7 linked regions of the Daphnia pulex genome follow. Each later gene encodes a partner of the first gene's protein in a complex. Links are inferred from orthologs where the notes say so. Each region holds a gene or a part of one and is shown in the gene's direction. Other genes may lie near its edges.

Evidence for each region.
Region 2: small nuclear ribonucleoprotein Sm D2 (region 1) and E3 ubiquitin-protein ligase RNF113A-like share a complex: the UniProt entries of both Homo sapiens proteins name them as parts of the minor spliceosome. The link is inferred for Daphnia pulex from reciprocal best matches to the Homo sapiens genes SNRPD2 and RNF113A.
Region 3: small nuclear ribonucleoprotein Sm D2 (region 1) and pre-mRNA-processing factor 6-like share a complex: the UniProt entries of both Homo sapiens proteins name them as parts of the U4/U6-U5 tri-snRNP complex. The link is inferred for Daphnia pulex from reciprocal best matches to the Homo sapiens genes SNRPD2 and PRPF6.
Region 4: small nuclear ribonucleoprotein Sm D2 (region 1) and pleiotropic regulator 1-like share a complex: the UniProt entries of both Homo sapiens proteins name them as parts of the minor spliceosome. The link is inferred for Daphnia pulex from reciprocal best matches to the Homo sapiens genes SNRPD2 and PLRG1.
Region 5: small nuclear ribonucleoprotein Sm D2 (region 1) and gem-associated protein 5-like share a complex: the UniProt entries of both Homo sapiens proteins name them as parts of the SMN-Sm complex. The link is inferred for Daphnia pulex from reciprocal best matches to the Homo sapiens genes SNRPD2 and GEMIN5.
Region 6: small nuclear ribonucleoprotein Sm D2 (region 1) and U6 snRNA-associated Sm-like protein LSm4 share a complex: the UniProt entries of both Homo sapiens proteins name them as parts of the U4/U6-U5 tri-snRNP complex. The link is inferred for Daphnia pulex from reciprocal best matches to the Homo sapiens genes SNRPD2 and LSM4.
Region 7: small nuclear ribonucleoprotein Sm D2 (region 1) and gem-associated protein 2-like share a complex: the UniProt entries of both Homo sapiens proteins name them as parts of the SMN-Sm complex. The link is inferred for Daphnia pulex from reciprocal best matches to the Homo sapiens genes SNRPD2 and GEMIN2.

Annotation. Positions count from the first base shown.
Region 1 is NC_060018.1:305,102-307,981, forward strand, and holds small nuclear ribonucleoprotein Sm D2, read left to right. Parts: upstream 1-1,356; 5' UTR 1,357-1,527; intron 1,528-1,596; exon of another isoform or gene 1,597-1,628; 5' UTR 1,629-1,744; coding exon 1,745-1,749; intron 1,750-1,891; coding exon 1,892-2,147; intron 2,148-2,216; coding exon 2,217-2,324; 3' UTR 2,325-2,380; downstream 2,381-2,880. Other genes in the region: cofilin/actin-depolymerizing factor homolog, read right to left, coding at 146-148; proteasome subunit alpha type-6-like, read right to left, coding at 2,438-2,495, 2,558-2,768, 2,839-2,880. UniProt on the Homo sapiens protein: Plays a role in pre-mRNA splicing as a core component of the spliceosomal U1, U2, U4 and U5 small nuclear ribonucleoproteins (snRNPs), the building blocks of the spliceosome.
Region 2 is NC_060022.1:4,929,451-4,933,183, reverse strand, and holds E3 ubiquitin-protein ligase RNF113A-like, read left to right. Parts: upstream 1-1,476; 5' UTR 1,477-1,700; coding exon 1,701-1,868; intron 1,869-1,939; coding exon 1,940-2,132; intron 2,133-2,188; coding exon 2,189-2,413; intron 2,414-2,496; coding exon 2,497-2,680; intron 2,681-2,745; coding exon 2,746-3,085; 3' UTR 3,086-3,233; downstream 3,234-3,733. Other genes in the region: protein unc-45 homolog B-like, read right to left, coding at 3,264-3,370, 3,455-3,623, 3,701-3,733. UniProt on the Homo sapiens protein: Required for pre-mRNA splicing as component of the spliceosome. As a component of the minor spliceosome, involved in the splicing of U12-type introns in pre-mRNAs. E3 ubiquitin-protein ligase that catalyzes the transfer of ubiquitin onto target proteins.
Region 3 is NC_060027.1:3,689,252-3,693,498, reverse strand, and holds the start of pre-mRNA-processing factor 6-like, read left to right. Parts: upstream 1-1,447; 5' UTR 1,448-1,459; coding exon 1,460-1,550; intron 1,551-1,629; coding exon 1,630-1,769; intron 1,770-1,827; coding exon 1,828-2,011; intron 2,012-2,085; coding exon 2,086-2,123; intron 2,124-2,186; coding exon 2,187-2,382; intron 2,383-2,455; coding exon 2,456-2,551; intron 2,552-2,623; coding exon 2,624-2,778; intron 2,779-2,848; coding exon 2,849-2,876; intron 2,877-2,936; coding exon 2,937-3,114; intron 3,115-3,185; coding exon 3,186-3,348; intron 3,349-3,405; coding exon 3,406-3,567; intron 3,568-3,661; coding exon 3,662-3,801; intron 3,802-3,881; coding exon 3,882-4,032; intron 4,033-4,247. Other genes in the region: endoglucanase 12-like, read left to right, coding at 33-172, 247-475. UniProt on the Homo sapiens protein: Involved in pre-mRNA splicing as component of the U4/U6-U5 tri-snRNP complex, one of the building blocks of the spliceosome.
Region 4 is NC_060021.1:1,388,871-1,392,739, reverse strand, and holds pleiotropic regulator 1-like, read left to right. Parts: upstream 1-1,221; 5' UTR 1,222-1,338; coding exon 1,339-1,347; intron 1,348-1,411; coding exon 1,412-1,518; intron 1,519-1,583; coding exon 1,584-1,726; intron 1,727-1,793; coding exon 1,794-1,913; intron 1,914-1,972; coding exon 1,973-2,157; intron 2,158-2,213; coding exon 2,214-2,363; intron 2,364-2,419; coding exon 2,420-2,614; intron 2,615-2,677; coding exon 2,678-2,796; intron 2,797-2,864; coding exon 2,865-3,066; intron 3,067-3,132; coding exon 3,133-3,324; 3' UTR 3,325-3,369; downstream 3,370-3,869. Other genes in the region: death-inducer obliterator 1-like, read right to left, coding at 1-275, 344-706, 764-887. UniProt on the Homo sapiens protein: Involved in pre-mRNA splicing as component of the spliceosome. Component of the PRP19-CDC5L complex that forms an integral part of the spliceosome and is required for activating pre-mRNA splicing.
Region 5 is NC_060024.1:12,897,181-12,901,377, forward strand, and holds the start of gem-associated protein 5-like, read left to right. Parts: upstream 1-1,397; 5' UTR 1,398-1,524; coding exon 1,525-1,729; intron 1,730-1,793; coding exon 1,794-1,918; intron 1,919-1,975; coding exon 1,976-2,213; intron 2,214-2,281; coding exon 2,282-2,322; intron 2,323-2,391; coding exon 2,392-2,676; intron 2,677-2,735; coding exon 2,736-3,090; intron 3,091-3,152; coding exon 3,153-3,689; intron 3,690-3,763; coding exon 3,764-3,915; intron 3,916-3,971; coding exon 3,972-4,197. Other genes in the region: CD63 antigen-like, read right to left, coding at 100-249, 315-440, 496-666, 748-927, 1,007-1,072. UniProt on the Homo sapiens protein: The SMN complex catalyzes the assembly of small nuclear ribonucleoproteins (snRNPs), the building blocks of the spliceosome, and thereby plays an important role in the splicing of cellular pre-mRNAs.
Region 6 is NC_060026.1:5,482,078-5,485,575, reverse strand, and holds U6 snRNA-associated Sm-like protein LSm4, read left to right. Parts: upstream 1-1,169; 5' UTR 1,170-1,314; coding exon 1,315-1,317; intron 1,318-1,383; coding exon 1,384-1,425; intron 1,426-1,484; coding exon 1,485-1,583; intron 1,584-1,698; coding exon 1,699-1,879; intron 1,880-2,727; coding exon 2,728-2,816; 3' UTR 2,817-2,998; downstream 2,999-3,498. UniProt on the Homo sapiens protein: Plays a role in pre-mRNA splicing as component of the U4/U6-U5 tri-snRNP complex that is involved in spliceosome assembly, and as component of the precatalytic spliceosome (spliceosome B complex).
Region 7 is NC_060025.1:2,087,193-2,090,140, forward strand, and holds gem-associated protein 2-like, read left to right. Parts: upstream 1-1,244; 5' UTR 1,245-1,320; coding exon 1,321-1,424; intron 1,425-1,495; coding exon 1,496-1,580; intron 1,581-1,638; coding exon 1,639-1,794; intron 1,795-1,864; coding exon 1,865-1,975; intron 1,976-2,030; coding exon 2,031-2,309; 3' UTR 2,310-2,448; downstream 2,449-2,948. Other genes in the region: endoplasmic reticulum protein SC65-like, read right to left, coding at 1-300, 365-417, 482-842. UniProt on the Homo sapiens protein: The SMN complex catalyzes the assembly of small nuclear ribonucleoproteins (snRNPs), the building blocks of the spliceosome, and thereby plays an important role in the splicing of cellular pre-mRNAs.

The DNA of each region.
Region 1 (2,880 bases):
AAGCCTTGCCGCGTTCGTCAGTTAAGCACACACAAGGATAGAACTTTTCTCCCTGAATCGAGGACTTTGGGACAGAAATTGGAAGAATTCCACACGTATACAGCAAACACATTTCTAACGACATGACAATATCAACGTTACTCACCATTTTGGACTAAGAAAAAAGTCTAGAAAAATTTCACGCAAAGCTCAAAGACGCCTAAACTGAAAGATCAACCCGAATGACTGCGGGATGAGACGGCACTGGGGGGAGTGAGTGGTGCGAGTGAGAGAGAGAGAGAGAAAATGCCCTCGATAAGATTTTACTCGTGGCGCGGCGAAAGAAGAGGGGAAACTCAGAGTAGACTTCTCTACACCGGCCGGGACCTCGCACTGCAAAATGGCGGCTGTTCCCCAAACTTGAGAAAACTTGGCGCTACCCAGTCCACACCCAGAAAAGCGCGTCATCTGGGGGTGGAATACAGCGCCGTCAAACGATGCCTATTTCGAACCATATTACAAACTTCACTAATTTATCACAAATAAAACATATAATGATAGGCGCATCATTTATCATTTTAAAAATAATTTGTATGACTCTTATTCTGTTTGCTGTTATGTAAAATCTCAAATGTCGTTAAATGAATTCGGGTAACCGCCAGGGGTCTCTGCTTGCTTAGCGATTGAAGGATGATGCCGATTGTAGAGAATTTTGTGTGTACTGGTTGCACATTCTCTGATTGGTTGTCCATATCGGGCGCTTGTTAACCCGAAAAAGGGGAGCCCAAACCACAAACCTGGAGAGAGTTACGAAAAGTAACTTTTTCTGTAAAATCCTCTACTCGCAGATTTTTCTGCTTGAGCAAAAAGTTGCCGACTCTAAATGATCATTCCGACTTCCTAATAAATGGTGTGCATCTCGCATGAGTGTTTTAACGAAAAAAAAAAATTATTGGGCCAGTTGCACACTTATTCTTTCATTCAGTTTCTCGGGGAGGATGACCTTTTATGGGCAGACATCGATGACTCACATTTTTACTTCCCCTCCCTCTAATCTGCCCTCCCCTCCCCTATGTATTAAAAATCTGAAACTCTCGGGACCGGTGTCGACAACTTTCTCTGTTTCTATAATTTAGACCAAAAAGTTTCAATTGCCATAGATCGCCTTCGCACAATGAACAGCCGATAACAGCGTGATTCGAAAGTTTTCGCCGTTTCAGGATGACTTATCAACAACGCTGGAAAGCGTTCTCCATTGGGGACCATGAGAAAGAATAGTCTGTGCATACGGGGGGAATATGTCCATATATGGCATTAGACAAGCTATGCTACATAACATAACATCTGTCGGCTGACAATTGTCAACCGCTTCGGTTTTCTCTTGACTCTACTTTCTGAGGTTTGTATTTCCTTTCCTCTCGACTAAAACGAATTCCAGTACAGAGTCCCAGACGTCTGACGTCTGGGATTGTAAATGTTTTTCTTGGCAAATTTCATTCTTTTCTTTTCACAACAATTATTAGAAATTGAAACGTGTCTCTTAAAAATGTAAGTCAACATTAAAAAACAATTTTTGGCAATTAAATCGCAAATAAGACATAAAATAGCATCAACCGTCTAATGCTAATTAATACAATATGACAACGCAGCATGTACGTTTTGTTTACGAAAAACAAGTGAATAACGGTTTGAAAAGTTAAACGAAGCCGGGCTCAAAAATATTCCAAAGAATATTTCTCTATCCGTTTACATCCTTCTATTTATCATGGCGTAAGTAAAGCTTAAGTTCAATTTCAAAATAGAAAATTTTTAAATCTATATTTTCAGCTAGTTACAGTGTTCCGTGTCTGCAGATTTTTCTCTACTTGACAGTTTCGTATGAGCACTAAATAATAAATGTTTCTTTCCATAGGGCTGTTGCAAATAAACCCAAGTCGGAGATGACACCGGAGGAATTGGCCAAACGGGAAGAAGAAGAATTCAACACTGGACCACTTTCAGTTTTGACTCAGAGTGTAAAAAACAACACTCAGGTCTTGATCAACTGCCGTAACAACAAAAAGCTACTGGGACGTGTTAAAGCTTTTGACCGTCACTGCAATATGGTTCTAGAAAATGTCAAGGAAATGTGGACTGAAGTTCCCAGAACAGGGAAAGGAAAGAAGAAGGTAATTTTCACTATTTCTGCATTCATTCATTCATCTATCAACAGTGACAGTTGTATATTTATTTTATAGAGCAAACCAGTCAACAAGGACCGTTTTATCTCCAAAATGTTCCTACGTGGAGATTCTGTAATATTAGTATTAAGAAATCCTTTGGCTGGTACTCCTGGAGCAAAATAATTGTATGTGTTTATCTCTCACTTTTGTATGAAATAAAAAAATCGAACAGCGGAAAATGTGTTTTATTATCTCGTTTTATTCCAATGTTGAAAGAAAAAGTTACAAAATCAAACTTAATCTTTTTCGGCAATTGCAGTCAGATGCTTATCGATGTCAGTTTCCGACAGAATTCTATAACAATCAGATCAGTCACATTAATTTCCTAAACTTAAATATTTTGCGCATTTTCTTACCTAAATCCTGGTTGATCCTTAGAAACAACTCCAATTTCAATATCAGATGGCTTGAAATCAGCAGTTAGGATATGAGACAGAGTTGTAATAGCAAGCTGGATAACTTCATCATGTGTGTAGTTTTGTTTCTTTTTGTATTTCTTCTCAAGATACGACGATGCCTCGGTTTGTTTAACACCCACTGAAGTAGCACGATAACCACAGTAATATCCTTGAAAAAAAAGTAAAACAGCAATAAAGCATACAATTTGAGAACTTTACACCCTATTTTAGATATATACCTGCTGGGTCAGCTTTGTATACAGCAGGCCCCAATTCTTCAT
Region 2 (3,733 bases), on another chromosome or scaffold:
CTGAAACTGCATATAGAGAACATAGAGCGAAAAGTCTTCATAAAAGGGCAGCAGCCCCATTAGAACGCGCGCGTAACTTGTGTGTGCTGTGTAAAGGATTGATCCTGCTGCCGTGCTGGCCCTTCTCTCAAAAGCCCCTTTTATACGTGTATAGTAGTGTAGCATGTGGATATTATATATCTTGTCTGGATCATTCAGCTTCTGTATAAATAGGCCCTCGCTTTATGCATAACATGTATCTATCATTGAGTCCCTATTTATAGCCTCCTCCCCTCTTTGCATAGAACGAAACGGTATATCTGCAAAACTGTGCTGCAATAAGTCAATGTGCCAATCCTGCTGGAGGAGGAAGTCAAAGTTTGGCTAGATGGGCTTTTCAGTCAGCGACAAGTTTGACCGAAAAATTACTTATACGGTACGGCGAAATAAAAATATTTTTTGTTTTAAATGAATAGGTATAGATATTGTAGTGCAGTATAGGTGTATAAATGGAGTCGGAGGATGGAGATCAAGTAGCTTTTCATCGGACGGTGAAGCGCTTCGTGCACTTTTGCGGCCGGGTTTTCTGGCCTGCGCGTTCCTTATTATTTCAACTTGATGAAAAGTGCTGGGCTAATTAAGGCGCTGTAAGGGAATCATCAAGCGAACGGCCCCCAGCAGCTAGCAGTCTGCTGATGATATAGAAATAATAAGCGCGACATCGGGCAAAGACGAAAGAGGCCCGCGGAGAACAAGCCCCCAAAAACCAGCAAAAAGAAAAAAGTAGACGAACGAAGAGGAGATAACAGTTCAGTGGCCGCCGCCCCACCCAGAAAAAAAAAATTAATAAAAATTGGGTAGGGGAATTAAGAAAATAGAATTATTATTCAGTCATATGTGGCGAAAAGGTTCTTAAAAGCTTCGGCAGTCTTTTCTAATTGATCGCCAGCAGAAGCGTATATAGTGCGTATTATTATTTCGAGGAGAAGAAAGAAGAAGGTCCTCAGACTCTGTGATGCGCCGAGCACATCTATACATATATACACGCCACCAGATTATTAGAGGGGAACCTACTAATTAATGAAAGGATGCTCCTTTTTGTACTGCCTGTGTGTAATCGAGTCGCCAGAGATTTTTAAGTAACGTGATTCTTCCCCCCATCCATTTCATTTGCACAAGGAAAATAAATCACCAAGGCATATGGAAATGATTAGAAGAAGACCATAAGAAATGACGACGATGCCTAATAATAATGATGTAAAGCAATAAGATATGTCGATTTTATTTTTCCAAAACAAATGCAAAATAGCAAAACCCGTAGTAGTAGTAGTAGAAACGGATGACGTTAAGATATATTCAAAGTCTCAAGCGGGTTTTCGGGGTCGGATCATTAATACCGACATCGTAGATGACAAATCTGGATCACAATAATAAAAGCTTTTGTGTGTGTGTGTGTGCATAGTTCTCTATGTACTAGTCTCTGTTGCTGTGCATATATATGTAAATCTGCAGCAGATCCCTTGCTGCGTATTCAATCAGTCATCAAGAACCCAATTAGAGGAATCAGACAACAGTGCACCGGTAATCCTTTTGAAAAGCCGACGACGAGAAGACGGAAGGATTTTTATTTTATTGTTCTCGTTTGTTGACAAGTCAAAATACATTTTTATATACAAAAAAGGAAAGCTTGATCCAACAAGAAAATCCACAAACAAACAAAAATGGCCGACGACAATAAAGTTTGCACGTTTACATTCAAGAAACGAAGAGGAGGAGGAGCCGCCATGAGGAGAAAAGCTGATGATGACAAGAAAAGCAGCAGCGAAGATGAAACTGTTGTTGCTCGAGTGGGGAAAAAGGAATCGGCTGGACTTCTTTCGGCTAAAACTGTGAGTTATTGAAAGTCTCTGCAAAAAGAATTTGTGTTTCTCATCGTGTTTTTTTCTTTTGGGGTTGACAGTTCAAATCCACGAAAAAGTCCCGTCAAGAAATCCAAAACAGCTCTGATGAGGAAGTCAAGGAAAAGGTCACAGTCGTCTTCCAGTCTGACAGAAGTGCTGAGAACAAGAAAGACGATCTTGCCACTTCCACAGTTCAGATCGACACTGCCGTCGATCAAGATGCCAGGACAATTTTTGAGAAATCTTTACAAAGTAGGTCAACTTTTTTATTTAAAATGAACCAAAATAATGTTTTGTTTCTTTGACAGTCCAGCAGGAGCTGAAAGGCAAAGCAGATGACAAGAAATATCGTGGCCTTGCTAACTATGCCCAGTACTACGAGAAAAGAGATACAGCCCAAGGAAATGCTGCATCTGCCAATGTGAGAAAAGGCCCCATGCGAGCCCCAGCCAACATCAGGTCAACAGTGAGATGGGATTACCAACCAGATCTTTGTAAAGATTACAAGGAAACGGGTTTCTGCGGTTTCGGAGGTATTCAAAATCTAACCAAAAGTTTTTGGGGTTATTATCATCATTCAGTTGAACTTTTATAAAGCTTTGCTGTGTTTTATTAGACAGTTGTAAGTTCTTGCACGACCGTTCCGATTATAAATTCGGATGGCAGTTGGAGCGAGAAGAAAGGGGAAAAGGTGAGCCGGCCGAAGACGACTCAAAGTATGAAATACACTCGGACGACGAAGATTTGCCCTTCAAGTGTTTCATCTGTCGCGAGTCGTTCCAACATCCCGTTGTCTCCAAGTAATAAAGACTCTCTCCTATTCATTTATAAGAAGGAGAATTTAACGCAAATTTTGACACGGCAGGTGTAAGCATTATTTCTGCGAGGCCTGCGCCTTGAAACATTACCGCAAATCGCAGCGGTGTTTTGTTTGCGGCAAACAAACTTTTGGTGTCTTTAACCCGGCAAAGAGCCTCATCGAGCGGCTCAAGTTGGAGGAAGAAGGCAAAACTTACAAGGAAGCAGACAGCGACGAGGAGCTCAACAACTTGGAATTGATTATGCAGCCGTCTGGCAGCACTACTGGTAAACCTACGGGAGCAACAGCAGATGTGGAGGAGCCCGTTACGGAGATTGAGCACATTCACTACGCAGACGAAGGAGTCGTGGCCAACGATACGGATTCAGATGATGACAGCGATTGAGGATAAGATCATCTTTATTTTTTCCCCCTACCATTCACGTGTAAGAATACATTATTTTGTAATTCCTTCTTTTTTAAATAATGCTTTCAATTGACGTATAAAGTGTATTTAACTTTAACGAGTGAATTTGCATAGGCACACAATTTAATTTTTGTTTAAATCATTTCATTAAAATTTATCAAGACTCATCTTCAGAGTCGTCCTCCTTCTCGATCAGTTTCCATTGCTCGGCGATTTCCAGGGTTGATTTGGCGCAGTCGCAAATTTTGGCCATTTCAGGTGTTTCTGTGTGCAGAGCGGATTCAAATGGGTTACAAAAAAGATTAGTTCAAGGCACCATGTCAAAAGTTTTAACTTAATCCTCTTTACCGAATTTGGTGAGAACTTCCAGGACCATAATAACCTCAGGTTGCAACAACTTTTCGGCCAACTCTTTCGAATGACTGGCGATGTTTTTGACGATAACAGCTCCTCGATATTGCACGTCTTTGTCCGTATTGCTCAGTAGGAAGCAAAGGATTTCTTTCCACTCTGTCGCCTATTGACAAATTTAACAAGAGAAAAAAAAAGTTAAAATCAATTCCAGGGAAAAAGTTAAAAAGAATGGAGGCAAACCTCGAAAACTTTCCGTGAAGCCCGTTTACTGAC
Region 3 (4,247 bases), on another chromosome or scaffold:
TTTGAGTCTTAAATCTTACACCGATTCAAAAGGCGGCTGACCTCAACATCAATCCATTGGCGTATCGCAAACTGGCGCAACAACAAATTCATTATGCGCTTGGAGATACAGGCCGTAGTTTTGTCGTGGGTTTTGGAGTTAATCCGCCGTTGAAACCTCATCATGCGTCCAGGTTTGAATAAAACATTGTGCTTATAAATATGATAGCATTATTATTTTTTAATGTTTTTATTTTTTTTTATGTAGTTCATGTCCGAATAGACCAGCTGTTTGTGATTGGAGCACTTATTCCTCAACTGCACCCAATCCCCAGGTGCTTTATGGAGGTCTAGTTGGTGGTCCAGATAGCAACGACAATTACACGGATGATCGGAGCAATTACGTTACCAACGAAGTAGCTTGCGATTATAACGCCGGCTTCCAAGGATCTGTAGCTGCTTTGCAATCATTGGCTGTCCAAGGTGTTTTCAACTAGAATACAAATTTACAAGATAAGACAGGAATTTGTTACACAACTATATTATATACCTACATTTTAGAAAGTATATTTTACTCTTAATTCTGCATGGTTATCTGCTACAGTACTGCTGATCTTGTTGGTTTTCTTGGAAATGGGATTTATTACTAAAGGTTAAAAAACGCCTGCATTTGTGTGTTCTTGAAAAGTTAAATAAAATTTGGTGATACATTTCTCAAACTATTGGTAACTTTTCAACCGATGCGCATGTCACGAAGAATCGTCTATTAATCTGAAAGAGTATAAGGAAAGTCTGGAATACGTTTGAGTTCGATGTCCTTTTCAAGGTAAAGGTGGTAGCTCGCGTGTTGTTTCATTCAATCTGAAACCTGAATTATGCAACTGCTGAATTCAATAGAAGATGTTGATAAATTGATTTCCACACCTAATTGATTTCCAAGTTCCCAAACATCACAATAGGCTAGTCATTAATCTAGCGTCGAAGTTGATTGGTTTCAAACAAGAACATCTGAAATCCGCACAGGGGGTGATAAACTGATGTATAGAAATCGAAAAATGCAACAAGCGTAACTACGTTTTCCGCGAAGAAACCCGTAAAGAGATTTCGCTGAAATTCCTCGTGCAAAAGAAGTCGTAGTTATCAAGGCTATAGTTCCATCGGGAAAAAAATAAGACAATTTTTAAAAATGTCTAAACAAAAGAATTTTGTGCGTCATCCATATTATAAAATCTACTTGAAACTGGTAGTGTGAGTATGCATTCCATCGAATGGGTCCTGTATTTCCTAATACCAGTGCGTTGCTCAAGTAATTCTTTTCCTCTAAAATGGTTTTAATATGGTGATGGTATTCTTGTTACGCAACTGTATTTTCGTTATTTTTTAATTATTGTGAAGTAATATGCAATAACGTAAAAGAGTTGAGTCTGTGCCGTGTATGCTTTGACCGAATGTAAAGTATAAAAAGGCGAGCGGGACGAACGATGCTGACAGAGAATCCAGCAAACTTACTACCGAGAATGTTGTCTTTATCCGGCTTCATCGTTATTCTTCTTTTCATGCATCTAGCTTCCGGTAAATATTCTTCCGTGTGGTTCCTCATATTTAACATGATTATAGAGTTGAAAAATACACCAATCAAAATAATAAATAGGAGGACCGTGCGATAATGTCGTCACAATTAGCTCATCTTGGCCGGGAGGCTTGACTGCCTCGCTTAATATTTCAATTACGACTCCAATCACTTCATGGGAAATTGACCTGAAATTTTCATCGGCCGTTCCATGGTTAAAGGTATGACACGCTCCTGTTACATCATAGATAGCATTTTTGAATATTTTTATTTTTAAAGGCTTGGGACGCTACAGAGTCTAAGATTAATGAAGTGGAATATCAGCTGAGAAACCTCAGTTCTAACGGAGTTCAGAGCGCTGGGGCTACACTGACGAGTGTCGGTTTTAATGCTTTCTTTAGTTCCAGCACCACACCCATTATTACAAGCGTACTTTTTAACGGAGACAACGTCTGTTTAATTGGTAAGTAACTAAATTATTAATCGTAATAATAGAGAATTTTTGGTTAAATTTTGTTTTTATTATGTCCTTCCAAGACACTAAAACAGAGGCTAGACAACCGATAATAGAAGAAGTAATAAATTTTAATTCTTTGGCATAAAATGGAAAAAGTTGTACTAAATGAAGCAATTTCTAGGAGAACAACCTTTTAGTGGATGCCTGGCCGACTAAATACAATTACCGTGAAGTAATCACCAAATCATTGCTCTTCTACTATGCCCAGCGCTCTGGGCGCTTGCCAGTAAACGATAACCCCATTCCGTATCGTTCAGACTCGGCGCTCAACGATCGTGGACAAGACGGAGAAGATCTCACTGGAGGCTATTACGATGGTAATTTATACTATTATTTGTATTCTATTTTATTCCATCAAAGTATTTGAAATTCTTTACCATATTTATTTAGCTGGAGATCACTTGAAACTCGGTTTTCCTTTAGCCAGTTCTATAACGATAGTGGCTTGGTCGATAATTGATTATCCGCTTGGATATTCTTCCGCAGGTTTTAAAAATTTAAACCAATTTCTCGTTGAATCAGATCACTAAACTTACTGGATTAATTTAAATAATACAGGGAAATTAACAACAGCTCGAAATATGGTCAAGTGGGCGACAGATTACTTTATCAAGGCCCATGTGCAAACTAACAAATTTTATGGGCAAGTGGGCGATGGCGATCTCGATCACGATTACTGGGGACGTCCCGAAGAAATGACCATGAAACGACCGGTATAAAGCCCTGACCCATTATTAAACTCATTTATTTCATCGACTGAAAACTACATTTCTATCGCTTTAGGCTTTTTTTATATCTACCTCAAAACCTGGTAATTTGTTTTTAAATTATATTGTCGTTCAAAGAAATAACACAACATTGCGCACGATAGGGTCTGACTTGGCCGGTGAAACAGCTGCCGCACTTGCCGCAACTTCAATAGTTTTTAAAACAGTCGACAGCACTTACTCAGCTCTTTGCTTGACACATGCAAAGCAATTGTACGATTTTGCTAAACGACATCGAGGAATATACAGCGAGTCCATCCCACAAGTAGCAGATTTTTATTCGTAAAAGCTTTAAATTTAATAAAATTGTTGCGTTTGATGTGTATCCGGTATAATATCACAATTGCCTGTAGGTCAAGTGGTTTCGGTGACGAACTGGCTTGGAGCGCTAGTTGGTTATACCGAGCTACTAACGATAACGCTTACCTCGACGATGCTAAGGCATTTTACACCGATTTCAACCTCTCCGATAATCCATCGGAATTTTCATGGGATACGAAAACTGCCGGAGTACAGGTAAATCAGTTATATTTGTTTAATTATTGTTCCGTTAATGCCATTTAATTCATATAGGTTCTGTTGGCCAAACTGACAAATGAGAACCTCTACAGAAACGCAGCGAAAACTTTCTGTGATTCCAAAGTTGAACAACCGAAGACGCCAAAGGGGCTCCTATTTGTTACCAAGTGGGGATCTTTAGGCGCCGCATCAAATATCGCTTTCATTTGTCTTCAAGTATTTAAAAAAAAAATTATATTCACAATTTTACGCCTGGTGATTAAAAATACGTTAAACTAATATATTAATATATTATTCACTTATTCCGTAGGCTGCCGATCTGAACATCAATCCATTGGCGTATCGCCAACTGGCGCAACAGCAGATTCATTATGCACTTGGAGATACAGGCCGTAGTTTTGTCGTGGGTTTCGGGCACAATCCACCACTGAAGCCACATCATGCGTCCAGGTTCGTGTTTTTAGCTTCTTGTTCATACAATAGATATCCAGAAATATTATACACATTTCTAATTTTTCGTCTTTTTGCAGTTCATGTCCGAATAGGCCCGCCGTTTGCGATTGGGATGCCTTTGATTCACCCAATCCTAATCCCCAGATCCTCTATGGAGCTCTAATTGGTGGCCCAGATAACCAAAATGACCATTACGTAGATGACAGACACAATTTCGTTACGAACGAAGTAGCTTGCGATTATAACGCGGGCTTCCAGGCGTCTGTAGCTGCTCTGCAATCACTGGCTGTTAACGGAATCTTCAACTAGAAGCAGTGCAGGAACATGGAAGATGAGATGAAGAAGATATTTAATATTTTCATCCGCCTTTCGTTTTAGTAATAAATCTTCTCGGTGTTTTTGGTTGTTCGGAATGTGTCAAATAACAATCGGGAAAATTTTTT
Region 4 (3,869 bases), on another chromosome or scaffold:
CTTCTCCTTTTTGAGAAGTTCCTCATTTTCTGCTCGGATTTTCTTTAATTGCTCCATTTCTTGCCGGTCAATCTGGCGTTGGGAACGCCGCTTAGGTGAAGGTTGGCGCGTTGATCCACCACCACCACCTATACCCGTCGAAACGCTATCAGAACTATCAACTTCAGAACTCATCGCACTGTCGGCGTTTCTCGAGTTACTAATTGCCGGGCCATGCGCAGCTGAATAACAATGGTCAAGTGAGATGGACGCAACAGCCTCAGTGTCATCCGGAGCTGGATAGAAAAAACAATAATATAATCTAGATACACTTACTACTACTACACAAAGTTATTTGGCAAACCTCCTGTAAGTTCGGGATCAAGCAGGTCATCTAGACCAGCTTCTGGTGGGAGAATATTGTTGAAAAAAGCCCCAGCTTCTGCTTGTAATGCATGCTCAATTTTCTCGATCTCTTCCTGATCAAGAGCTAAGAGTGGATCTGTTGTTTCTAAAACTTGCTCACTAATTTTTGGCCCTGCTTTGACATTTCCATTAACTTGAGCAATTTCCTGGTCAGTTTCCATCAATTCTTCCTCGTTTTCCTTGAGTACAGGGCTAGAGACTGGGTTGAAATCTTCTTCTACAGTTATGTTGACATCAGTACTGCTGTCACCTGCAACATCATTGACTCTAACTACGCTTAGAGTTGTATTCTCTTGAGAGCCTGAAAATAAGGTAAATGAATAAAAACATGATTTCCCTCCAAAATGTGACGACTTACTAAGAAGTTGAAGTGTTTCCTGATCAACTGATATGTCACCAGTGTCATTATCAACAATAATGATTAGTGTGTTTCCAGCAGAGGAGCTATCGTCTGTGGTATCTGCCACAAAAGTACTCGACATGCTGTTGTCGAATTTGTAGCACACTTGTATCTAAATGTCAGTAAACGAGTAATCCAAAACGCGTCACTTATTGACCAGCTCGGAACGGCCCACTATCAAAGTTCAAACCAAAGCCACTAAAAACTTCACCCGATTCTATGGGCAACCACAAGCCCAAAACTTTTTTGTTGACAAACTTTGAAACTCCTGATTGCATCAAAATACACATAAACACCAAGCCGACTCATGGCTAGATGCCGCCATTTTGCGTTTTTTTTATATAAATCAATTTCAATGTGCCATGTTGCCGGCGACGCTTCCAATAGAAGCCATCTGGCGTGAATAATTACATCTTCTGTTAGTCACTAACAGATGGCGATTTGATCAGTACGTTAGACAACGCCGGCAACAATCGAGTACAAACCTCATGTAAATTTTGATTTGGTTTCGTTTTTACAATATAACAACAATCATGGGAGAGGTAAATTTTGCAATTAAAAAAATTATGAACAATTTCTAATTTACAAAATTTCATATCTCTACAGGATATTCAGAAGCATTCCGTGCATACGCTAGTGTTTCGATCACTGAAGAGAACCCACGACATGTTTCTGTCAGAAGAGGGTAGTCTACCTCCTCTTGATCAAAAAGCGTGTGTTGAAATAACTTTACATTGTTTCAACGTATTAAGTAACTCAATTCTATTTGATTATCTAGAGTGTCTGCCTGGCGATCATCAAAAGCTAAAGATACGTATGGTCCAATAGTTGAACTGGTCAGGAAACAACAAGAGATAGCGAAAAAAACAGGGCTTCCGGTAAATTACCCTGGAGGACAGCTTGCTCTAACTAACAAATCTGGTAATTTATTTTCCCCTATATTGATTGGAAATATGTATTTTTAAGTGGAATGTTTATTTTTTTACAGAACAAGATGGAGAGACCAGCCAAGCTTTGGCTCTTATGCCTTCAGGAACAATCGGGGGACATCAGATGCCACAATCTTCAGCAAATGTATCAACTGTTGGTATACCAGGCTATGCTGCAGGTGAGAAAAATATGCAGTCATTGTTTTCCCATCTATTTACTAAAAAAGAATCTTATTAGGTGGACCCACAAACAATACACAATCTTTAATAACCCGTAAAGCCCCAACAATGCCCAAGCCACAGTGGCATCCACCATGGAAACTTTGTCGTGTTATCAGTGGTCATATTGGTTGGGTACGCTGTGTAGCTGTTGATCCTACGAATGAATGGTTTTGCACAGGATCTGCTGACAGAGTTATTAAGGTAATTTATTCCTTACATTTATAAGAGTCAAGTTTTTCATTTTGAAATTCTTATAGATTTGGGATTTGGCCTCTGGACGGCTGAAACTTTCGCTTACAGGCCATGTCAGCACCGTCCGTGCTCTTCAAGTCAGCCCAAGACATCCGTACCTTTTCAGTGCTGGTGAAGATCGACAAGTGAAATGCTGGGATTTGGAGTACAACAAAGTAGCCATCACCATTTCAATTTACCGTGTAAGAAATATTAACAAAATCTTTTTCAGGTTATCCGGCACTACCACGGCCATTTGAGTGCCGTTTATAGTATGGCCCTTCATCCAACCATCGACGTTTTAGTAACTTGTGGTCGTGACTCTACTGCCCGTGTTTGGGACATGCGATCCAAAGCAAACATTCATACCCTAACTGGCCACACCAACACCGTAGCATCAGTTGTTTGTCAAGCAGCCGAACCTCAAGTATTCAAAGCAGTTTTCGACACTCATAATCCAGAATTTTAATTTTACCTTTCGAAACCATAGATTATTACTAGTAGTCATGACAGCACTATTCGATTATGGGATTTGGCGGCTGGCAGATCAATGGCTACTTTGACGAATCACAAGAAAAGTGTCCGGGCAGTGGCAATGCACCCTAACCTGTATGAAGCTAACCCATTATTTCACAACACATTGAATGTACAATTAATTTTAAAAAATTATGTTGCAGCTACATGTTTGCATCCGCCTCGCCGGATAATATCAAACAATGGAAGTGCCCCGAAGGCAAGTTTATTCAGAATCTTTCGGGCCACAATGCCATTCTTAATTGCCTTGCCATCAATGCTGACAACGTAATGGTATCGGGTGCTGATAACGGATCACTCCACTTCTGGGATTTCAAGACTGGATACAATTTCCAGCGCTCACAGGTATAAATGCATTTAGTTGAAACTGTGTTTTGAACGTTTCTTTAACTGTTCCTATTCAAATTTAAGGCCCCCGTGCAACCAGGCTCAATGGATAGTGAAGCTGGAGTATTTGCCATGGCCTTTGACCACAGTGGTTCACGTCTCATAACGGCCGAAGCAGATAAAACTATCAAAATCTACAAAGAGGACGACGAAGCTAATGAAGAGACACACCCCATCAACTGGAAGCCCGACTTATTAAAACGGCGTCGTTATTAACTCGCCATCTCCTGTACCGTACAATACAACTTGATTTTTAAACGATTTGTTGGCGCAAACTTGTATTATTACTTCAGTAATGTGCTGAGTTATTATGCGCTTATGGATTATTTATATTATGGATAGCTCGGGAATCCCAAGCTATCCCGAGTCGGGATAGCTTTAGCTTGTCAATTATATAATCACTGATTTCAGCGTGAATGTTTTAGGCAATCAAATAGTGATGAGGTTCTTAGCAATTTAGAATACCTACTTGAGAATAATTTAGGGTCACTCCTTGTTTGTGATAACGTATTAGCTTTCAACAAGCAGCCAAATGCCACACGTAAAGAACGAGTACATAAAAATCTTCTGGTTTTCAATTCATCCCAAAATGTAGTTAGAAAAAATATTGTTAAAAAATGTTAAGACTAGTCAAAGAAAACCTTTTGCTTCGTTGCATAACATTTAATTATTTAATTTACAAAGCTCACGTTTTCACGCGGTCTTAAATTTTGAAACACTGTATTTTGGCGGGAAAAATGGAAGGGAAACCGAGAACCCTG
Region 5 (4,197 bases), on another chromosome or scaffold:
AGTGTGATTAATTCGTAACAATAAATTGAGATGACCTGATACGGGCGTCTATTCTTTTCACAATCAAATTTTTCCTTTTTGTAGCAACAAACAAATTAACTATTGATAGACAGGATCACTCGGAACGCAGCGGACTAGAAAAATGACAAGAATGATTTGAAAAGGTAGGAATATCGTAATGGCAATCCCAATTGCGGTTATTTTGGCGAAGAGGGCATCGACCGACTTCATCATGCTCGAGACACAATCCTGTAAAGTGAGAATTAAGTTTAAACTAAATTTAATGTAACTGATTAATAATAATATTTAATTACTTCTTGGTATATATTCTTCAGATAGGAAGTGTCGCATCCTGATTTAACGCAACAGGAATCAGGAATGAATGAATATCCTGCTACGCTGTTCCAGTCCTTGTAGCTATCAACGCCACAACACTGGAACTAAACCAAGCGCTTTATCACGTCAGCCGACTAATTTCCAAGTAAACTAATTTACCATTTGTTGGGTGATATCCATTCCAGTTTTCCCACTTCCGTCGGGATCGAAATACATCATTTCGCGCATAGACTCTCTAATGTCTTGCTTGACTTTAGTACCGAAATCAGGACCGAACGCCACCAAAAGTCCAACCATGGCAATGAACAACAGTACGAGGAAACCTGCATACTGTCAAGTGTCAACGTCTCTTTAATACGATTCACTACGGATACAGATAGGGAGAAAGAAAATTATTTTTATTTTACTCACTATGTAGTAAAAAACAGAACTGCCGTCAATAGTGAAACAACAGTTAAGCGTCGTCATAACGATCAGTATGACTCCTATGACAACAGCAAGACTTCCGATTTTCAATTCAGCCGAGAGTATGGATGTTAGCCGAGTAGATTCTTCAGCTAGTCCAAATCCAAGTAAACACATTCCGAGAACCTACCATGTTTCGTAATAATTACTTGTGTCACTCATTGATTGCAATGAGTTTTCGTAAATAATAAAGAATTAAGCGTACCAGTAATAGAACATTTATGAACAAATGTAGAAATGCACAAGCGAAACTGCATCTTCCGGTCTCCATATTGCTCACTGAAACTCTGGAACATGACAAACAATATCAGCCTACATTCACACATCTATCGACGTTTATGAGCGTAAGCTATTCTTCGAAATAAGTGACGAATTCCTTTTGACGCGCACATTTCGAACAAGGTTCGTTGATTTCTGATTTGATGAGGAACAATTCGAGCTACCCTTGGAAGCGGCCAAGAATTGTTTTATTTTATGCAACACGAAGGATCGCTCATGATTCATAATAACGAATTTTTTCTGAGCGTTATTTAAAGAATTATTACAACTTCTTAACTTATCCCATCTCAAAAATAAATTATGTAATATCTGCTTTTAGTAAGGTTTACTGTTTAGCACCACCTTTGTCGTCTGTGCACGTTGTTTTGAAATTGTTCGCACATGGTGCGTATATGTAAGATTTAGTTTTCAACTTAAAGAAATTGTACAAGTTAAACTTGTAGGATGACAGAAAATAAAAAAGAGATTGTGATTCCTCCATCTCCAAATTGGTATCTGAGTGGTGCTTTTGAATGTCACAAAAAGTCTGGAGTATTAGTTTATGCTGCTTCGCGATGCCTCGTCTTTGTGAAATCTTGTAATGTAGGAGATAATTTCAGTTATCCTACAACTAATGTCATCCCGGACGCCCACAGGAATAAAATTACTTGTTAGTTTAGCATAAACTTCCTTAGGTTCACTTTTCAATTAATCGGTTTTGTTTTCATATGAAGGTGTGTCTTGGTATCAGCCCTCAGAAGAGAATAATTTGTTGCTGAGTAGTGCTGGAGAAGATGGTTCTATTTGTATATGGAAATATAATGATTTGAGTCTTGTATTTGAACAAAATGCACATCAGGTAATATTTGTAAAACATATTGTCAAGCTACAAATCTAATTTGACATCTTTTTCTAGGAGCAAAAAATTTCTTGTCTAAGTTGGTCTTCTCTACTGGATAAGAAAATCTTGGCATCATCAAGTGAAGATGGGACCATCATAATAACAGAGCTACTATTGAGCTATGAGAGTTGCAGCACTCGGAAGCTCAATTATGGGAAAATAAACCCTCTTATGCTGTCATTCAATCCCCACATTCCATGGCAGCTGGCCATTGGCTGTAAAGGTGGATTGCTGTACATATGTGATGTTAGAGGTAATGATTCAGTACTTGCTCTAACATTATCATGATTTTTCATCACACATATCATTGATTTCATTTAGAAAACCGTGGTATAATTCATAAACTGCGAGCTCACGAAGATGTAATAAGTTTAACCAGTTTTGCGTTTTCCCATGAAGTGTCGTCATTAATTCACAACAAATTCTTTTAGGATCTACACAACATCGTTTGGTGCCCTTTGAAAGGAAATGTATTTATTTGTGAAAAAGAAAAGAAGGAAACATTCTTGGCGACTTCGGGCCGAGATAAAACTATTAAAATCTGGGCCACTAACGAAGGAAAATGTGTCAGCCAATCAAAACTTCCTGGCAATACTGGAGTCCATCGCCCTCGGTCTACTCAGGATGATAAACGTGCGACCTGGGTAGCCTTACATTGGCTAAACGAAAAACATATTTTGAGCAGTGGACTCAGTGGTGAACTTATCTTGTGGGAGGTCAGAATTTTAAGTTAAATTTTTATTTGCATGAATTTAATCAATTTGTTTTGCTGTAGGTTGGGCCCAAATTGTCTTGGAAGATCGTTCACAAGCTTCACAGCCGTGGACTCTTCAATATTTCTTCATACATGACTGGAGAAAACCAGGAAATGATTTGGACTTCGGCGCAGGATCGTAATGTTATTCTTTGGCCCATAGTGGAAGGCCACGTACCAAAAGAAGTGTTAGGCATTCAAGAAATGGAGAATCCGCATCTTTGTATGCCAACCATGGGTGGTTTCATCTACGTCATGAATATCAATCCCATCGATTCATCCCAAATGGCTGTGGGATTGGGAGACTGCTCCATCAGACTATGGAATATGGCAGCTGCGAAACCTGACATGATGATGCTGTGGAATGGAATCAAAGGTGATGAATATATAATCTACTTATGCAGTATAGAGAGTAAAATTGCAATTCAATCATAACAGGCAAAGTGAGTGGATTAGCGTGGCATCCGACAATAGAGGGCCGGTTGGCATTTGGAACCGATGAAGGACGCGTAGGAATATTTGACACACTGTCGCTAACTAAACCACCTCAATTGAGTCGCACTTACCACAAGGGTACCGTATACAATTTATCCTGGGCTACCCTGCCGTCTAAGGAAGGGATATTCCTCTACTCTTGTGGTGGGAACAACATTATGGTTCACGATCCATCAGCATTAGATACGGAAGCAAAAAATTTCAATAATTTGATCGCAAGCAAAGGAGAAAAAAATCAAAAGTTCCCTTCGCGTACGGAATTTCAATGGAAAGTGGACTTTTCTCTTCTAGCCGTAGGCAACGAAGACGGTTCTGTGGAAATCTATTCAGGCGGCGATTTATCTTTGCTAACGATTATCGTTGCGCATAAAAAACTTATTCAATGCCTTAAATGGCATCCGCCATTCACTTTCCAAAGTGTGGAACCTTCCAAATTTGAAAACTGGTTGGCAGTGGCTTCAAACGATGTGAACATCAAAGGTACGTGTAAATTTTAACTATCTTGACCCCTTTTGTTTTATTGACTGACTGACGCCTTTTTACTTTTGTTCCAGTTTTTAGCGTCGTCGTTGCCAACAACGACGAACCCGCAACATCCACACTTGCGGCTACTCTAAGCGGTCATAAAGAACGTGTGGTGTCGGTGGCTTGGAGCCCACATGAAGATGGAAAGCTTCTTTCTGCCAGTTATGATGGAACCGCACAGGTAAATCATTCTTAGACTTTTTAATTATACCCTTTTATTTTTACTTGCATTTGCAGGTTTGGGACGTGATCAACAAAGAGCAAGTGGCTAATTTTGGTGGCCATACCGGAAGATTGCTTTGTTGCGAATGGAACGCATTAGAACAGGATACGGCCGTTACAGGAGGAGACGACATGACTATTCGAATGTGGAAAGTTAAAGAACAAGTCTACAAGACACCTGCCGAATCTATTGCAGTCAAAACGTTGAAGGAACGAAAGAAAATACCATACAAACCCCCTC
Region 6 (3,498 bases), on another chromosome or scaffold:
ACCGACTTCGAGGCCACTGCCGCATAGGATTTACCTAGCTGCGAGTCCATTCCACTAGGTGGCTCATTCTCCTTAGTCGGCTGCCCATCACCGAATAACCCATTCAAGAACCTATTTGCAATTTTAACCTTGATGCTGGTTAGCTCACTTTCTATCTCTTTAGTATGACTGATAATGCACTCTTTCTCTTGAATGAGCGTCTCTCTTTCCTCTTTTAAATCCTTTATTAGTATATTATCATGTCTTCTCTCGACATGTCGGTCAGAGAATTCTGGCTATTGTTCTGTACACTAAGTGTACGTTTCCGTTTCTCACCATTGGTGCCACCAATACTTGATCTAGGTCTAGAGTACATTATTTTACACACCTCAGAGCAATAAAGATGATTTCCCTGCCATACTCCCTCCTATACGACGGAAATTCCGTCGTATAGGGGGTATATATTACACGAGCGAAGAAAGGCAACTTGCGTCACTTATTGATCAAGAAAAACTGAAGGTATATTTTTTAAAATAATTTAATGTCGTAGTGAATAGTGATCTAGTAACCACTACTTTGCCATTCATTTAGGCTATCAAACGACCAGTTGGAATAGCTTTTATAACCTTCGCCTCAAACATTCAAGCAGCGAGGGTAAGCCAAGATCATAGGCCCAATTGGCGATGTGGATCAATCCCAGAAAGCTCGAGCCTGATTGTTATCTTTAAGCCTCACCGTTGGTCCGTTGATTTTGCTCCACGTCCAGATGAGATCAATTGGTAACTAGATTAAATTAATTAAGGTTAATTCAAGTTCTATAATTATCCTCTGTCGTATAGGAGGGAGTATAGGATTAGTCAAGCATAAAATAATTTCTAGTTCGGCTATACGCCACAGTGGTACGCATTGGCGTAAGCTTCGCACGACTTTTGGCTATGTCGCGTACTTTTGAATTGCAATAAGATCTATTCGGCTGCGTCAATAGTCAATACAATACGTGTTACTGATGTATCGCGAATAACGTTCAGGATCAGCGCAGTGTTAATGGTTTATTTTACGTTACGTTTTTACGGGTTTATACGTTAATGGATTATTGGTCCTGATTGATCTTGTCCATTCGGAACCGTTCCGAACACAGCCGCCTATTTTATAACATTTCCCAACACACCCGCTGTGGCGCGGTGTAAAGGATTGGCCGATCGCACGATAGATGGTGTTTCTGCTTCATAAATCTTTGATCTTTGATTTCCATTTTCCAACCACTTAAAACCTAGGAGAAACCTTTTTCTTAATTATTAATTGGAACATATCGAGAACAATAATATTAAATCAATTATGGTAACTATTGAGTTTTGTGCTTCATACCGAATCATCGAAGATTAATTTAATTATTTATTTATCTAGTTACCTTTGTCGCTACTACGTACAGCCCAGAATCATCCCATGGTAAGCATTTTTTACTTTTGTTATTTACAGCAATAAAACTAGTGTTTCAATATTTACAGTTAGTGGAATTGAAAAATGGGGAGACTTACAATGGCCACTTGGTGAGTTGTGATAACTGGATGAACATCAATCTACGAGAAGTAATTTGCACCTCCAAGGTAAAGTACTTTCATTTAAGATAGTTCCGTCATCTGTATCTGTCAGTGATATTCTTGAATACGATCATAAGGTTTTACATATAATATTTAATGAACAAAAATACAATTTCTTTAGGATGGTGACAGATTTTGGAGAATGCCTGAGTGTTACATTAGAGGCAGTACCATCAAATATCTTCGAATTCCAGATGAAGTCATTGATATGGTTAAGGAAGAAGTAGTTGCAAAAGGTCGTGGTCGCAGTGATGGTAAAGGAAGAGGTGGAGCCCAAAGAGGAGGCAGAGGTGGTAGTAGAGGTATGTTTTAAATGCCAAAATTTTCTCACTCATTATCAATTAAGTTAATGGGGTATACAAAACAATTTTATTCGTAGTCTTAATATTGTTTTAGTCATGAATATTATTGAACAAGTACCAAGTTATAACAGTATTATACAAAATTTTCTGATAATGGTCCAATGGGATAAATATAGTACAATCACTTAATGCTCAAATGATTGTACAATAACTAATGTATGTTTGACTTCTTGTTAATCTCATTATTCTAGAATCATGTTCAGTATATCGTAGCTTTATTTTTAAATTACGTCGTTTCGTGTCATTTGACGAATGAATAGCTAAACATCCTATCTGCACATTCAGGAATGCCTGCTCTTATGGTTTAAAAATGAAATCTATCTACTATGTAGAGGTTTATAATTTGTTTTTTATTGATTATTATTTCAAGAGGTACATGCCGCGTCTCTTACTTGAATACTGATAATAAATTAATTTTAATATTAATTAAAAATAGGAATTTATAAAATTAATTATTTAATCTTTTCACGTTTTTTTATATTTTATTTTAACCTTCCAAAAAAAGTTTACAGTTTAATGAAGTATAGTACTACCTAGGTAATGTTTCTCAGTCGTGTACATTATTATAACTTACATTATTTCCTTTTACTAAGCGTTAGCTTATCGCAGCTACACGAATGTGCGTCAAACTCAAATTAATAGTTAATGATTGATTGAATCGATGGGATTATTTTAATTTTATTATTTAATATTTTTATTTTAAAACATATAGGCTTCGTTGACGTATAATATGGAGCATGCATATTCCTATTGATATGATATAAAATTATTCTTGTGTTGACCATCAGGTTCTTTTGGTGCTTCAAGAGGTCGAGGCGCGCCGTCGGGACGAGGTGGTGGTGGTGGTGGTGGCAATAATAAACCCCGTGGAAAGTAAATAAACTTGTCAGAATGAATGTATGAAAATAAAAATATGGCCAAGTCTTGATTTATTCGAGACGCTTTCTGTTTTGATAAAAAGATGGAAGCACTTATCTCATTCTTTCTCTTCACATTAATTTTACATGCTTAAAATAAGCCCATAAAACCTTTAGGCTGAAATACACCAAGAAACTGAAATATTTAGAAGAGAAGAAGCCCTTGTGGACTTGTAATAACACGCTGCACCTTCAGCTGTTTTGCTGCATATTTCATAAGTCAGTAGGTGCGGCGTAGTAAGAGTGGATGTGTCGGATCGTTCGTTGCCAACTGGCAAAGCGACAGCGAAAATCGTTGTTAGCACAGAAGATTCAGATGCCCATTTTTAATAACGAATGAAAACAAATGTTTTGTTTTTGCAGAAAGTTCGGCGCGCTTAATAAATGTCAAATGTGTATACATATTTTGAAGCATGAAAGTTTTTCGTTTGTTATAGATACTTTCTGCGTTATAGATACTTTGAACTTGAATGCTCACCAAATTCAGTACAAAAGCAAAAGCCATACCACTAATTTTAGAGCGACACCATAATACATCTTCCATTTTCTCGCTCAGTTGCATTCGAACGTAAAATACAATTAGCTCGTAATTACGATTTAGTTCTTAATTATTTGTCAGACGTTTGCAATAGTAAATTCGCC
Region 7 (2,948 bases), on another chromosome or scaffold:
AAACCAGCCTTGATCAAAGGGACCCTCACAATGAGCTCTGCATTCTTCTTCTGCTTGCAAGTATTCTACCAAGGAAAGCTCCATGTTGGTTGTAGTTCTGTCATAGTCCTTCTTTTTGTAGGATTCACTGCCACGAATGTAGAATTCAACATAGGGTTTAGCTTCAAGGTTGATGACATAGTTGGGATCCACTTTCAATTCATTGATGAAAAATCTAAGATTTTCTTTCATCACAGTATGGTTTAAATTCATAGTTAAGAAAGTGTAGGCACAGGAAGCTGCCTTGATATTATCGTTGGTCTGAAATAATCCAAACACAAAAGTTTAAGTAAATAATAAAGAAAATGTGATGTAGGATACTAACCTTGAAGTAGCAAAGCTGAAGATAGTCATAAGGTTTCAAAGTGTCAAAATCATCTGTTTAAAATGTAAAAATTTTTAAAAACAGAAAACATATTTGATGAAGATAAGACTGTCTAACCTGCAACTTTACGGTCAACAATTTCTGCACGGTTCTTCAAAATATCTTTCTTGCATTTCAGTAAGCAAAGTGTCTTCTTTATCATCTTTTCCCATAATTTCATATCTTCCAACTGTGGAGACACCAACGGTTTGTCAAAAGATTCCTTGAGACATTCCAATCGACAGCCCACCACAGCATCTTTGTAAAAATGATAATCTTCAATGGCTTCGTTCATACGCGTGACGCACTCATCCCATTGCTCATTTAGATATGCTTCTACTGCCTGGCTGTAAAGAATATCGTACGAATTGGCAGGATCAGCTTTTGTAGCAGAGCAAAAGTAAACCAAGAGGGACAAAAAACAAGCTTTAAACAACATATTCTTACAATATATAATAAGGCTTGACAAAATAAAATAACATGGGCAGACTATGGAGCTATGGAGCAAGGGGAGGTTATCTTTGTGACTGCTCCACGTTAACAGTCAAGATGCCCTATGCAAAGAAGAGGGGTACATATATGCGTGAGAAAACATCTGTTAAAAACCTTAAACAAATTCTCGTGTTTCAATGTTTTGACTTAAAAGCAACATTGCCAATTATGAATAACGCAATCATGAAATTAATTAATCTTGAATTCTTTCAAATTTGAATTATATTTTTCAATTGCTGGTGGTTTTTTAACCGTGAATCGTGAGATGACAGGTAAGTGCAATAATTTAAATTTTTAAGTAAATAGAGCTGACAAATTAAAGTGATGTAGATGTCGCTTGCGTCTGAGCAAATAGTGGCGCAGAACCGCAGACGACAACTTAAACTTCAAAACAAACAACTGAAATCATTTGTGAAATTCCAGGCATGGATGAGTTCCTCCATAAAGCGCTTTACGTCGAGGAAACAGACGAGGATATCGATTTTGAGTCTGCGCCCAGTACAGGCCAAGAATACTTGAGAAGAGTTATGTAAGTCATGAAAACTTGTGTGTTAATAAATTGTATCACTATAAATTCATGCTGCCGGTTTATTTGGATAGAGTCGAATCGCGAAAATGCGAAGCGGTTGTAGTTGCCGATATGAAAGGAAAGAAGCTCAAAGCCCAAACTGTCAAATACACTACGGTAAGTTTCATTTTATTCAAATTTATTGATCTAGTCTGTCATTTCTGTGTAAATTCAGGACTCTGGCTGCCCACCTGCACCAGAAGTTTTCCTACCTTCAAAAGAATGGCAACAATTCCAAGTCTCTCAGTTTTCCTGCCTCAGGAGCCGCATGGCAAAACACTTGGCCAGGCTGAAAAAACAAGGAATTCAAATGAAACCGAATACAACCCTGGTAAGATCTTTGCTGTTGCAATGGCTTCCAGATAAATGAGTTTGGTCTTAATTATCCCTTCCAATTGTAGCCTGCTGGAGACAAAGAAAAGGAATGGTCAGTGTTGTGCTATGGTAACCCTGAGGATGAAAAGCCTTGTGGAACACCACCTATGCTCCCCATCATTTTATCCCTCAACCAGGTATATGAAAGTCACCTACTTCTCAGCATTCACACTATTATTTCTGTTGATGCAGTTTATGGTGGAGACTCTACTAGAGTACAACGTACAATGGCTGGAGGAGACGAATTTTACTCAGCAAAGGGGTCAGTGGCTCTACGCTCTACTTGCCAAATTGGAGAAACCTTTGAAACCCGAAATGTGTAGCCTCATCAGAACACTGGCACGTTTGTGTAGCACATTCCGAGTTCAATTAACCTCGGTCGACGACCCGCTGTTGGCCCAGCTCAATCTTTTCATATGTCTAGTCGGTCGTTACTTTGATCAAAGTGATTTAGCCGATCCGATGAAATGATTTAAACGCGAACAACGAACATTTCTGGTAACACATTTCCCGCATTGTATTTTTATTTTATTTTTCTTTTGCTCGCCATTTTGTAAGAAATAAAAAATGACTGATGGTAAATATAGTAAAGATCGTGGGTGAATAAGAACATGCATGTGGCTGATGGTATTACATTTAACACTTTTTTTGTTTTTTATTCGGGAGGGATAGGAAGAGGAGCTGAGTTGCATTCGTTTTTTTTTTCTCCCCCATTTTTCAGTGATGGCAAAAGTGGTGGGTGAAAATAAGAAGATTATAGCAGTTACATGTATAATAGCTGGAGGAAGAAAGAATTGAAGGGAAGGTCGGACAGAGATTTTAGAATTAGAATTTGCGTGTGTTTCTTCACAATTCCATTGATTCAACAGTATATAGAGATACGTTAGAAAAATTTGAACTTTCCCATCGATTGAACGAACCAACACAGGAAGGAAACGAAAAAGTGTAAGGAGAGGCGATGCCAATATATTTCTTATATATATTGTTTCTTTTTTATTCATTTTTTTGTTTTTTGTTTTGTTTTATTTACTGCATCCAATCTCCTCCGTTGTGTTCTCCTTCAGCAGATGAAACTGTCGCAAAAATTCAATATTATATCATGAAACATTT